Sus scrofa: one gene and its partners. The protein of the gene in region 1 purifies or fractionates together with the protein of each later gene. This does not show direct contact. Links are inferred from orthologs where the notes say so. Each region holds a gene or a part of one and is shown on either strand. Other genes may lie near its edges.

What was found.
Region 2: the proteins of LITAF (region 1) and NEDD4L purify together in Homo sapiens (affinity purification with western blotting; 3 studies listed by BioGRID and IntAct, counting the BioPlex papers as one, with this or other methods). This does not show direct contact. The link is inferred for Sus scrofa from reciprocal best matches to the Homo sapiens genes LITAF and NEDD4L.
Region 3: the proteins of LITAF (region 1) and NEDD4 purify together in Homo sapiens (co-immunoprecipitation; 4 studies listed by BioGRID and IntAct, counting the BioPlex papers as one, with this or other methods). This does not show direct contact. The link is inferred for Sus scrofa from reciprocal best matches to the Homo sapiens genes LITAF and NEDD4.

What each region holds. Positions count from the first base shown.
Region 1 is NC_010445.4:31,562,594-31,566,106, reverse strand, and holds part of LITAF (lipopolysaccharide-induced tumor necrosis factor-alpha factor), read right to left. Parts: intron 187-3,513; 5' UTR 182-186; coding exon 1-181.
Region 2 is NC_010443.5:162,514,015-162,518,157, forward strand, and holds the start of NEDD4L (E3 ubiquitin-protein ligase NEDD4-like), read right to left. Parts: upstream 2,806-4,143; 5' UTR 1-2,805. UniProt on the Homo sapiens protein: E3 ubiquitin-protein ligase that mediates the polyubiquitination of lysine and cysteine residues on target proteins and is thereby implicated in the regulation of various signaling pathways including autophagy, innate immunity or DNA repair.
Region 3 is NC_010443.5:115,988,976-115,993,011, reverse strand, and holds the start of NEDD4 (E3 ubiquitin-protein ligase NEDD4), read right to left. Parts: upstream 2,806-4,036; 5' UTR 331-2,805; coding exon 1-330. UniProt on the Homo sapiens protein: E3 ubiquitin-protein ligase which accepts ubiquitin from an E2 ubiquitin-conjugating enzyme in the form of a thioester and then directly transfers the ubiquitin to targeted substrates. Specifically ubiquitinates 'Lys-63' in target proteins.

The sequences.
Region 1 (3,513 bases):
ACCCAGGAGGATTCATGCCCTTTCCGTCCGGGCCAGTCATGAGCCCCGTGGTTGGCCCAGGCACAGGTGCTGGAGGCGTGGGGTAGTAACTGTTTACGGCCAGTGTCTCTTCATAGGACGGGGGCGAGGTGGGTGCCGAGGAAGGCCCAGCGGCCGCCTGGTAGGCTCCTGGAGCAGACATGGTACCTAAAGCGAAGCCAGAGGATTCCAGATCAGAAATGCAATGAACAGTTTATTTTCCCCTCTCTCTTGTCCACCCTGGCTTTCGTTTCTACCTGCCAAACAGAAAAATTGGAGGAAACAACTTGTATCCAGCCTTGCCAAAAGCCAGCGAGGGAGTTAGCATCCTTCCCGGACCCACGGATTACAACCTTAACCAGAGATTCCTTTCGTAAAAGGCAGATCATGACAAAAATCAGCAAGTCCTCAGGGGAAACAAACATCAGCCAAATGTGAGATGGTTTTTTTTCACACTTGAAAACCATCACCCAACCAAGACCTGTCTTTCACAGCTAGTGTTTTTTCTTTCCTTTTCTTTTTTTTAAATGAACCACTGCAGTTTTGCCCAACAGTGTTCCAGGGGACGTAAAAGACAAATGCATTCAAAAGCCAACCACAAACGATGACAACGGTTAATACGGAGCAAAACAGGCCAGATGCCAAAAACATGTCCTGTTTGATGCCGCGCATCTGATGTCCAGAAACTTGGGGCTCAAAAGGTAAAAGGAATCTTGGGGCTAAAAGTCAAGAAATGGGCTGGTCTTAGGACGGGAAGCAGAGTCGGGAAGGGGGCCTGAGGGGGACCAGGCATGTTCTCCTTCTTCATCTGGGGGTGGTTACAGAGGAATGTCCACTTTGTGAAAATTCAAGTTGCACAATTAAGTCATGTGTTCTTTTCTGTATATACATCAATGGTTTTTTAAAAAGTAAACACAAACAGATGCATGCACACCAACTAGCGCCCCCCCCCCGCCTTTTTTCTTTTATGGCCGCGCTGCAACATGTGGTGTTTCCAGACCGGGATCAGATCCAAGCCGCAGTCACGACCTCCACCGCAGCTACGGCAATGGCAGCTCCATGAACCCACTGTGCCGGACCGGGGATCGAACCTGCCTCCTGGCGCTGCACAGACACCTCCCATCCTGTTGCGCCCCAGCAAGAACTCCCTAGTTCTCATTTTTAAAAATAAGAATCAGAATGGCCAGGCACACGTGTCCTTTTGTGAAGGCAAAGAAAAGGTTTTTTTTTTTGCCCCGGCAGAGCTGTGCCTGCCTAGAATTACACCGCCTGGACCCGGGGTGTGTTCCTGTCTGCGGTTCCAGGCTCCGCAGCCCCTGGGCCACTGGCGAAGGACACAGTGCCGTCCTTTGTCTGGTTCTGTTTTTCCAACGGGGCAGGGCTACCGCCGTGTGTTAGACGATCCACTGAAACCTGTCTCAGGAGAAACGGGGCTTGACGACAGTGGATCACAGTCGGACAGGCCTGCCACCGCTTCCCACGCACGCTACCTCCTCTTCTAGAACCCACAGAATCGGAGGCAGCAGTCCATTCTGCTGTGGGGAGAAGGGGAGCGTCCTGCGGGGACGCTGAGCCTTCCAGCCCGGCCTCAAAGAGGAGATTCCTCTATGGAAAGAGATGAAGGGGCTTTCCAGGGCAAAGACAGGCACAGGAAAATCAATCTGCAAAAAACAAAACCAATCAATAATGCTAGATAGCTTGGGGCTGGGTGCTTGAAAATTTCAAAAGCCCCTCAGAGATGTTCGGACCTCATTCTGTAAGCCTGTGTTGTCTGATGGAACCTTCCAGAAGGATAGTCTGGGCTGTCCAATATGGTCACCGGCAGCCCCACGAGACTGCTGAGCACTTGGAATGGACAGAGGATCTGAATTGTTCAATTATATTTAAGTAATTTATTATTATTATTATTACTATTACTATTTTTATTATTGCTTTTTAGGGCCACACCTGTGGCAAATGGAGGTTCCCAGGCTAGGGGTCAAATTGGAGCTATAGCTGCCTGCCTACACCACAGCCACAGCAACGAGGGATCTGAGCCTTGTCTGTGGCCTACACCACAGCTCACGGCAACGCCGGATCCTTAACCCACTGAGCAAGGCCAGGGATCGAACCCGCAATCTCACGGTTCCCAGTCGGATTCGTTAACCACCGCGCCACAACGGGAGTGCCTGTTTTTACTTCTTAAAATGTGGGTACCAGACAGTGCTACATCGCCTGTGTGGCTTGCTTTCTGGTTTTACGGGACAGCAATGCTATGGAGCAACGGGAGCCATGGAAGGTTACAGAGAAGAGGAAAGGCCCAACCTTGGACAGCAAAGACGAGGCAGAGCTGTTCCAGAAACACGAAGCAAAGCCCCTAGGTGTGGGCGGGTTGGGGCGGAGTGGGGTGTCTGCATTACCAGGCTACAGAAGGGTAACCACACATGGGTTAACAAGACCCTGGACGTCTTTGCGACACGGGTTCACGGTTTCAAACTGAGACTGACTTTGAAGCGCGGTTAAGGTATATGACTGTGTCAGTGTCCTCTGACACAACAGGAAAGGAAGGGGCAGAGGCAGGAGGCAAGACAGGGTGCAGACAGCAGCCCAGGACACCTCCCTACCAGGCTCCCCTCTGAGGCTGGCTGTTGTCCCCTCCCGGCCCGCGGGGGCTCCATCCCCACCCCCATCTGCGGCCTGGGCCCCAGGAGACTTCAGCCAGGTGACCTCTGAGTGCAACGTCACAGACTCACTGGCCCTTCCTGTCTCAGGAAGGGCTGACCCAGAGCTGCTGCCACGATGTATGATGAAAACTGAGTCACAGGAAAAAAAAAAAAAAAAAAAAACAGAAGAGCAAAAAGTGTCGGGCGGCCAGAAAGCCTCAAAGAGCAGTTTGCCGTGGTTGCGAAGGGAGGGCTTTGGGAGGCAAAAGAGAGGGGCTTGGGGCACCCAACATTCTGCAGATAGTTTGGGTCAAACCATTGGCCCTTTCCCGCAAAAGGGAAGGAACCCAGCCAGAGGCTGTGTTGCTGAGAACTAATGCACAGGTGTTAGGAAGCTGGGGGGGTCAGGAGGGCAACCTCCCGAGACATCTAGAAGGAAGGAAGGGTCTGAGCTTCTGGTTCTGGAAGGAAATTAACACCCCACCCCCGTTTTATGGACCATCATCAACTTTCTTGGGCTCACATCCTGTGTTCTGGAACTTCAGGACACTGCCTTTTGGGAACATTGCTTGTGGATCAAACAGCCCCATAAACATGCTCATAACGCTGAAAAGAACATGAGCAACAAGCGGGAAAGGTTTGAAAAAAGAGAGAGAGAGGAAAAAAATATATATAACCAGCTGCTTTGCAAGCTTTCTAAATAAATTCCACAGCCTGCCCTCCCCCAGGCCCCAGGCCCGGAAATGCCACTTCAGTCAGCCCATTTCTTTTTTTTTTCCCTCCCCCCCTCATTTCTTTTTAATTTGGTTCCCCCAGGGGCAGGAGGCCCACCCAGCCACCCTTTCCGAAAGGA
Region 2 (4,143 bases), on another chromosome or scaffold:
GCCATGCTGCTATAAATCTAACCGCATTGGCGCTCACAGGACACTTCTTTCTGAACCAAGCAGGGCCCCGGGACTCTCCAACCAATGCAGGAGAGAGACCCGGCTCCTAACACAGAAAAGCGCCCATAGTATTCCCCCACCTACCCCACCACCTTTCCCACGAAACCAAACGTTGTTGAGTAAAAATGCCGGGGCTGCAGGAAAACCCTTTCTCCAGCAATCGGATGTTATGTTGCCCTGTTATTTATGATATCACCACACTACCATGATGGAATGCAAACTAATAAAACGTACTATAAATACGATTACACACCCCGCCATTTAATGCTAAATAATTAGACCATGACCTACAAGTAACAAAATAGCTAAGTGGAAAGGGGCACCGCTTACAACACTCCCCAGCAGTGGTCTGCCTCTGGTTACGACGTTTTTCATTTAAACGATGGGGGAGGGAGGTGCTGGCGGCACACCATCTCACACATAATAGGATTCTCGGACATGTTAGTGACCAGAGAAAAAGAACCCAGCTGGAGAAAACATTCTCTCCCATATGCCAGATAGGAGAGAAAACAATACCCCCGCCCCAAAAAAAAGGAGAAGGAAAATTAAAGGGTATGCATGTGGTTTCTGTAATAAGTTAATTTCAATACCATGCAGGAAAAAAAGGCTGACTGGAGCTGGCTGACTGTTTTCCAGTAAGAAGCCAGCAATATCAGCCCAGTTGGGAAACATAGAATCTTGACATTTTTGTGAAGGGTCAAAAAAGACCTAAGTAATAAAAGTGAAAGTCCACGTTCAAAAAGCTGTCATCGGATTTGTAGCTAACTTGGATATATTCTGAGTGTTTTAAACATACTCTTTTTCATTGTCCTGAAACACGAGTTATTAACAAAGAGGCTTATTTCGGAGGAAGTAAGAAGGGAAGGGATGTGGGAATACCAAGCTGCAAAAAGTGACAAAAAGTTTATTTTAATATATGTTGACTTTGTCAACAGCTCTGGAGTCCAGAGTGTGGAGGATTAACCTTGTGTTTATATACATCCAAACCTGTTTTCTAAAGGCATGTGTTTTAAATGCCAAAAATGATCTCTATGAGAGAAATGGAAGCTAGTTTGTTTAATGTGAAAACTGCCAAGTACCACTATAGTCACGTAGTGTCTCTGCTGGATTAATAGCCAACAAAGAAAAAACCACCAGCAGCAGCATTCACGCATAGTAACAAGGATGCAGACAGCCTGGGGCAAAGCTAGGTACATAAAACAGTTTTTCAGATAAAGTTTCACATGAGATTTCTTAGAGCTCTGCATTCAAAGCCCTATTCGGCTTGGAAGTATAAGTTTTAGGCTCATGGCAAGGTCCTCTCAACAACAGTGATTCTTTTAGATAAGGGAAATGGGAAACATTTTTTACAGAGAATTTCTTTCAATAGAAGAGTTAAATGAGTTAAAACACATCTGACAAGAGACAGTTTTTTCCACAAAGCTGACCATTTCTTCACCTTGAAGAAATGTTGTAAGACACAATAAAAGAGAGAGTAAGGATTAATCTGTGGCTCCATCTGTGGACTCTGGGACTCTGCTGAACTCTGCCCAATCGGTGTTTCTGGACAGGAGATGGAGCACCAAGAACTACACCCTCAAGCAGAATTTCTCATTTGATTTAACAGCAAAATAACTTCGTGCACCGGGCAAAACTGATTTAGCTATTCAGTACTACTAAGCATCACCCAAGGTATAAAATGTCAAGTTCAATGCAAAGCCGCCGAGAATCCGTATATTTGAATAGAAAATATATCAGGATGGTAGGCCAGCATCTGTTGCTTTCTAATTTGGAGAATAATTCCAGGCATAGGAGATCAAATATACTCCTAGGTTCAATACTAAGGGTTAAGGCCTGGCTATTCACCACCAATGGCCTGAGACTTAATAGACGGGCAGGTATGTAATTACATCAAGGCTCTAGATCTCAGTTCTCTCACATGCAAGGACAGGGAATTAAATGAGTTGTATTATAAGCCTCCTCCAGATCAAATATTCTATTAAACTCAAGCTATTCAAAAACTTGGAGTTTCAGGTGACTTCTGCAGAAGGAAGGATTCATAATAACATTTCCTTTAAGCAATTAATACATGGTTGGACTCCCCCCCCCACATCTGCAGGTTCTGTATTCACGGTTTCAACCAACTGCAAATCAAAAATATCTAGAAAAAAAATTCCAGAAAGTTCCAAAAAGCAAAACTTGAATTTGCCTCATGCAGGCAACCATATATAAGTATTTTTAACCTATAATCTATACAACATATTAGTACTAGTTTTATGCCTTAGGCATACCTCTGGTTCTTTGAAGGTACTTTCTTTGAATTTCCCTTGAGAAAGCACCGCTTTTAAAATACAGCTTAATTTTACCTGCTAAATATAGATTCACTTTTTGCTATATACTGTTAATTAGATTTCTGTCATCCCAAAGAGATTCACTATTGAACGTGTCACAGTCTCAAAGTCTGGCTTACATATAAAAATCCTGAAAGGTTTATTTCCATGAGTAATGAGATTTGCCCACCTCTTTGTATCCCCAACAGAGGAGTATAAGCATATATGGCTTGATATACCACCAGTGTGATGGTCATGAATATTAACTATGATTAAAAACTTACACAGGTACAAATAAATTTTGTCCTACCCACACAAAAATATTTGTTTGAATTACGAACATTAAACTAGTAATGGGACAAAAATAGTCTTTTTGAGGGACATGTATGCTGTGAGAAATAAAACACATATAGACTTTTTAAAGATGTGCTGAAAATTCAATTTTTAAAAAATGAAGCAAAAATTAAAAATCAGGAACCACTTACCAATCTATTTTCATCAAATACTTCAAACAAGAGTCTGTGATTAGATGGGTTTACCTGTAAGGGACAAAAATAATAATTGTTACTATTGATTTATTCTGAGGCATGTGGAAGTTCTGGGGCCAGGGACTGGACCTGAGCCACAGCAGTGACAATGCTGGATCCTTAACTCACTGAGCCACCAGGGAACTCCCAGATAATACTTTTAAAATGAGCAGAAATAATTCAACGAATGAAAAAAGAGACTGAAAGAATAAAATGCTTTTTAATGCACTCAAATCAGTTGTACAATATAAGCAATCTGCTCTTATGAAAATCCTCTATATACTAAATCAAGTTTTCTATGATTGATCGCTATATTATTTTACACCTAATATTTAGGCCTATAAGAAGGAGAAAATGGTTTAAGTCACTTTTCTAATGCGAGAAAGGATATTTCTAAACAGTTTCTTTTAAATTTATTTTTCTAGATAAACTTTTATTTTTAAAAGTTCCTAAGTCTCCGCTAAAAAGGCATCCTCATGCCTGTAGATCAAGGCTACATCCTCACAAAGGTCTATGTCCGAGGAAACCTCTAAGGCCTAAAAATAACAGCAATGATAAAAAAAAAAAAAGAATAAAACAGTAAAAGCATGTAAATAGTTAAAAAAAGCAAAACAAAACATTCCTATTGCATGTTTCCTTTTTAGGCACTATCTTCTTATTAAATATCAAAAATACATCATCTCATTTATTCTCAAAGCAACCCTATGATGTATAATTGTCACCCCGATTTTTACAAATGAGAAGCCGAGACCAGAAGGGTTAACTAACTTGCCCCAGAGCCCATAGCTGGTATGCAGGGCAACCAGGATCCCCATCAGGTCTAGCCTGCTCGTCTCCAAAGCCCACTCTCCGGACCATTAAAGAGACAAGGAAATAAAAGATGGTTCTGTTTCCAGCAACTGCGGGGTCAGTGTCAGAGCCACTAGGCCATGTCTGGTTTTTGCTTTTGTTTTTGTTTGTCTTTTTCGGGCTGCACCTGCAGCATATGGAAGTTCCCAGGCTAGGGGTCCAATCAGAGCTGTATCTGCCAGCCTACACCACAGCTCACAGCAATGCCAGATTCTTAACCCACTGAGCAAGGCCAGGGACTGAACCCGTGTCCTCATGGATATCAGTCGGGTTCATTACTGCTGAGCCACAACGGGAATTCTAGGTGATGTCTTTTTGCTTCTTTCTGTCTCTTCACCCAGACTTCACTGAAATAGCAGGAATCATCATTCACACTCAAGTGTCATTTCGTTAAGGAC
Region 3 (4,036 bases), on another chromosome or scaffold:
ATCACTGCCAGCTAAGACATGGCTAGACTGAAGACATCCACTGTACCTTGTTGGCTGGAGTGAAATCTGCAGACAGCTGCTCTTTTTATTAACATTTTCAGGTGAAGGAACAGATGATCTTTCCTGAGACTTAACGTTTTCCTTTATTAACGGAGCTAGTGCAGTTTGTCTGGGAGTCAGCTTCATTTGAACCACGTTAGAGGTTGAAATCCGTGTTGGTCTTGTGAAGCACATGTGAATACTGCTATCCAAATCATCTCCAGAGGTTTCTGACAAAGGGTAAGTATTGCTTCTTCTGGCTGCAAAGTGCAATCGTAAGCTTTGTGCCATTTGTTCTCATTTCCAAACATGTTAAGGGCTGAAAGTCATAACAAAGATCTCTGTCGGTAGACAGGCTAGAAGCAGCTGCACTGCATCGAAAGAAAAAATCATTTGTGGTGCCTAAAAGAGCTCGTAAGTAGTGGTCTTTATCCTGAGTAAAACCTTAGAGACCAGATATCGTAGAAAGAAAAAGACGGCCCATTCCCGAGACTGACGACTGACGTTTCCAAAATGTCTTGAATCGCTTGTAGTCAAAATGCCTTCACTTACAAAGCACTTGATTTCCAGCGACCTTTAAGCTGAGCTCAGCTGCAGCACACTGCCTCAAACACTGCCAACCTTGTTTCAATTATACCTTCTCCAATTTGCATGAATGAGTAACACAAGAACAACAATCTTCTAGCATTTCAAGTTGAAACAGTATTTTTCACTCCAGCTCTACTAAATGAACATTTAACTATGTGAATCACGGTGCCTATACTTTCTCCAGCAGTTTGACCACTAATATTTTTACCCATAGGGATAGAATTACAGGAAGTTGGTAGGAATGAAACCCCATGTAATTGAGTATCAAATCAAGGATTGAATTTCCAAATAGTGGTCATACTGGAATCTAGTCAACTTAGTAAATGTAGAAAGGAATATAGACTGTTAATTTTTTTTAAATGAGTAAGTTCAAACAGTTGTATAAACTGGGAAATATCAAAACTGAGGTGAATTAAAAATTTAGCATTAAATCAAATAGATACATATTTTAGCTTCTAAAACACGATGTACTTATAAAAAGTGAAAGCTTAAGGATCGAAATACAAAATTAGCCTAGTAATCTATTGCAAAAATTGAGCATACATCTGAGAAAAAAAAAATTTTGAGAGAAGCTGTCACCAAGCATTTTCTCCTGTAATTTTAAGGCCTTTTCAGCCAAGCAGTACAGTCTTTAAATGATGCCATTTATATTTGGACTATTAAAACTCTGCCAAGAAATAGGCTAAGAAAACATTCCATTAAAAATATATGCAGATTAGACAGAAAAACTATACCCCAATATAGTTTGAGCACACAAGATATTTTATTCCACTGTCTCTGCAATTCATTCACTTAAGAGAGTGTTGTGGTAAGTAAAGAAGTCTAAAAAGGATTTAACACATCAAATAAACATATCTCAATGCCAATTCTGTTGCGAAAAACTCTAGGAGCTCTTTGCTGGCCCCTACTGGTGCACTGAAACAATTCATTTAGTTGTTTGATACCTATAAAGAAGTACAAACCATGTCGCATATTTCTTTATATAAACAAAGTACATACTTGTTTACATTTTTGAGCACTAGCACTGCCCTAGAGGCAGAATTACTTACTACTGCTGATAAAGCTCCCACAGGAGAGAACAGTAGACTGTCTGTCCTTTCAGAGGTTGCAATTTTGTATATGTATTTTTTTCTGCTTCGTATTTATTTAACCTTTACTTTATTTTCAGTTTACTAGGTAATAAAAGTTTAATATTTTAATTTCTCCCCTAAATGTCATAGACCAAGGTTGGTATTCTGTTTGAAAGAAACAAATTTATTTTTAAATAATGCTCTAGGGTATATTTAAACCCCTTACCTGAATTTTACAGCTGGAACTCCAGTAATAAATATATACTGGCTCATTCATAGGAAAGTAAAAAGCAAAATAGTTCAGTTGTTTACACCACATGGTACTACACCCAAGTTGTATTTTTCTAAGTAAGTTTTTTTTCCCTAAGTGAAAGCAAATATGTAAAACATATACTCACACTTTGTTTAAAAAAGAAAACTCAAGATAGATCTGTTCTCAATCACAATTTTCTAAACACTGTTTTTAATCAATTAAGGCAGGACAAAATAGAAATATGGAATTTACTAAATTCTATTTCTGACTAGAATGAGATAGTACTGTTTTAGAATGTGTATAATTATAAATTTAATAATAAAATTATTATGCTATTTTGGTTTTGCATAACCTATTTCCTTTATGATATTACAGGCTTCAGTACATATTCTCTTAAAATCTTTCTTTTTTTTACCAGAAGGGAGAGTCCTAATCTTTTCACTATGCCTTCAAATAATTCCAGCTTTCCTTCTTGAATTAAGTTAGGGATTTGAGGACTCAAAAGATGAATCACTTCTAATAAGCTAATCAATGAGATCTAACTGCTAGTGCCTGTGGCTTAAAACTTCCAGTTATTAAGGAAATCCCCTTTAGTTGTTACTATAAAATAATGAATAAATAATGATAAATGTTTTCTCTTTGGTAAGCTTCACTGTTAAGTATCAGTTTCACCTAACTAGATTTTAAGCTTCCAGAGGGTGAGGACAACAACTAAACATTTCTTATTTCCTCTGATCCACCTGAACTCATGCTGGGTACAAAGTAAACAGTAGGTAACACCAGAGAGGAGGTTGGATATATGGTGGATGTAGCCAATCCAGCTTCTATTTCCTTTTTTTTTTTTTTTTTTTTTTTTTAATTAACAGCTGCAACTAGCATATGGAAATTCCTGGGTTAGGGGTCAAATCCAAGCTGCAACTGCGGGCCTATGCCACAGACACGGCAATACCAAATCCAAGCCACATCTGTGACCTATGCTGCAGCTTGCGGCAATGCTGGACCCTTAACCCACTGAGCGAGGCCAGGGATCGAAACCCACATCCTAACGGACACTATGTCAGGTTCTTAACCCACTGAGCCAAAATGGGAACTCCCCAAGCTAATACTTCTAAAGAGGTATCAAAAATACTGCAGCTGGACAAAAAGAAGGATGCTCGAAAATTTTGCAAAGAGGGCTTTAGCCAAAGGGAAACAAAGGTAAGAGAATCAAATGCACTTCCTAGCACTCTAGTCTGAGTTTAAATGCTAGTGAGGCTGAATGGTTTGCATTACTGGCTCTGGTCTGGGACTGCACAGGATCTGTGCCACTTTTATAACAGAACCTGGGAAACACGGGGTAAAATGTAGCCCCTGGGGCAAACAGATGCCAAAAGTGGAGCATCAACCCTAACCTCAAGGAGAGGAGAGCTGGAGAGTGGTAGCAGGCTTCATCTGGGAGGAATCTGTGCAAATCCTATAGAATTTCATATTCTGGAGTGAAACGGATAATGTCTTCAGATTAGACTGGATATGTTGACTTGGCTTAGCTATTTTGCCCAGTTATTAGTCCAAACACCTAACTAGATGTTGCTGTGAAGCTATTGTTAAGGTATGATTAACTTTTAAATCAGTAAATTCTGAATAAAGCAGAATGCCCTCCATAATGTGATGGACTTCATCCAATCAGTTAAAGGCCTTATGCGCAAAGACAGGCTTCCCAAGGCAGCAATTCTGCCTAAAGGCTGTATCACAGAAGCCTTGCCTGAGTTTCCAGCCTGCTGCCCTGCAGATTTCAGATGCATTAACCCTTGCCTGAATATCCAACCTGCCAGCAGGGCCTCTTCAGACTTTCCATCTTCCATTATCACGTAAACCAATTCCTTAAAATAAATCAACACTCGCCTCATTACCTCGCTCCCTCCCCCTTTCTCAGGTGTGTGGGTGTGTGTCCTATTGGTTCTGTTTCTTTGGAAAACCTTGACTAATACAACCACTCAGCCTGAGAAGCAGAACATCGCCACCTGGAAAATGGAATATAAGCATCTCCTAAAGCTTCAGAGGCTGGATGTGTGCAGATGCAGCTCTTGGGTTGTGGCAAAGAAGCCCT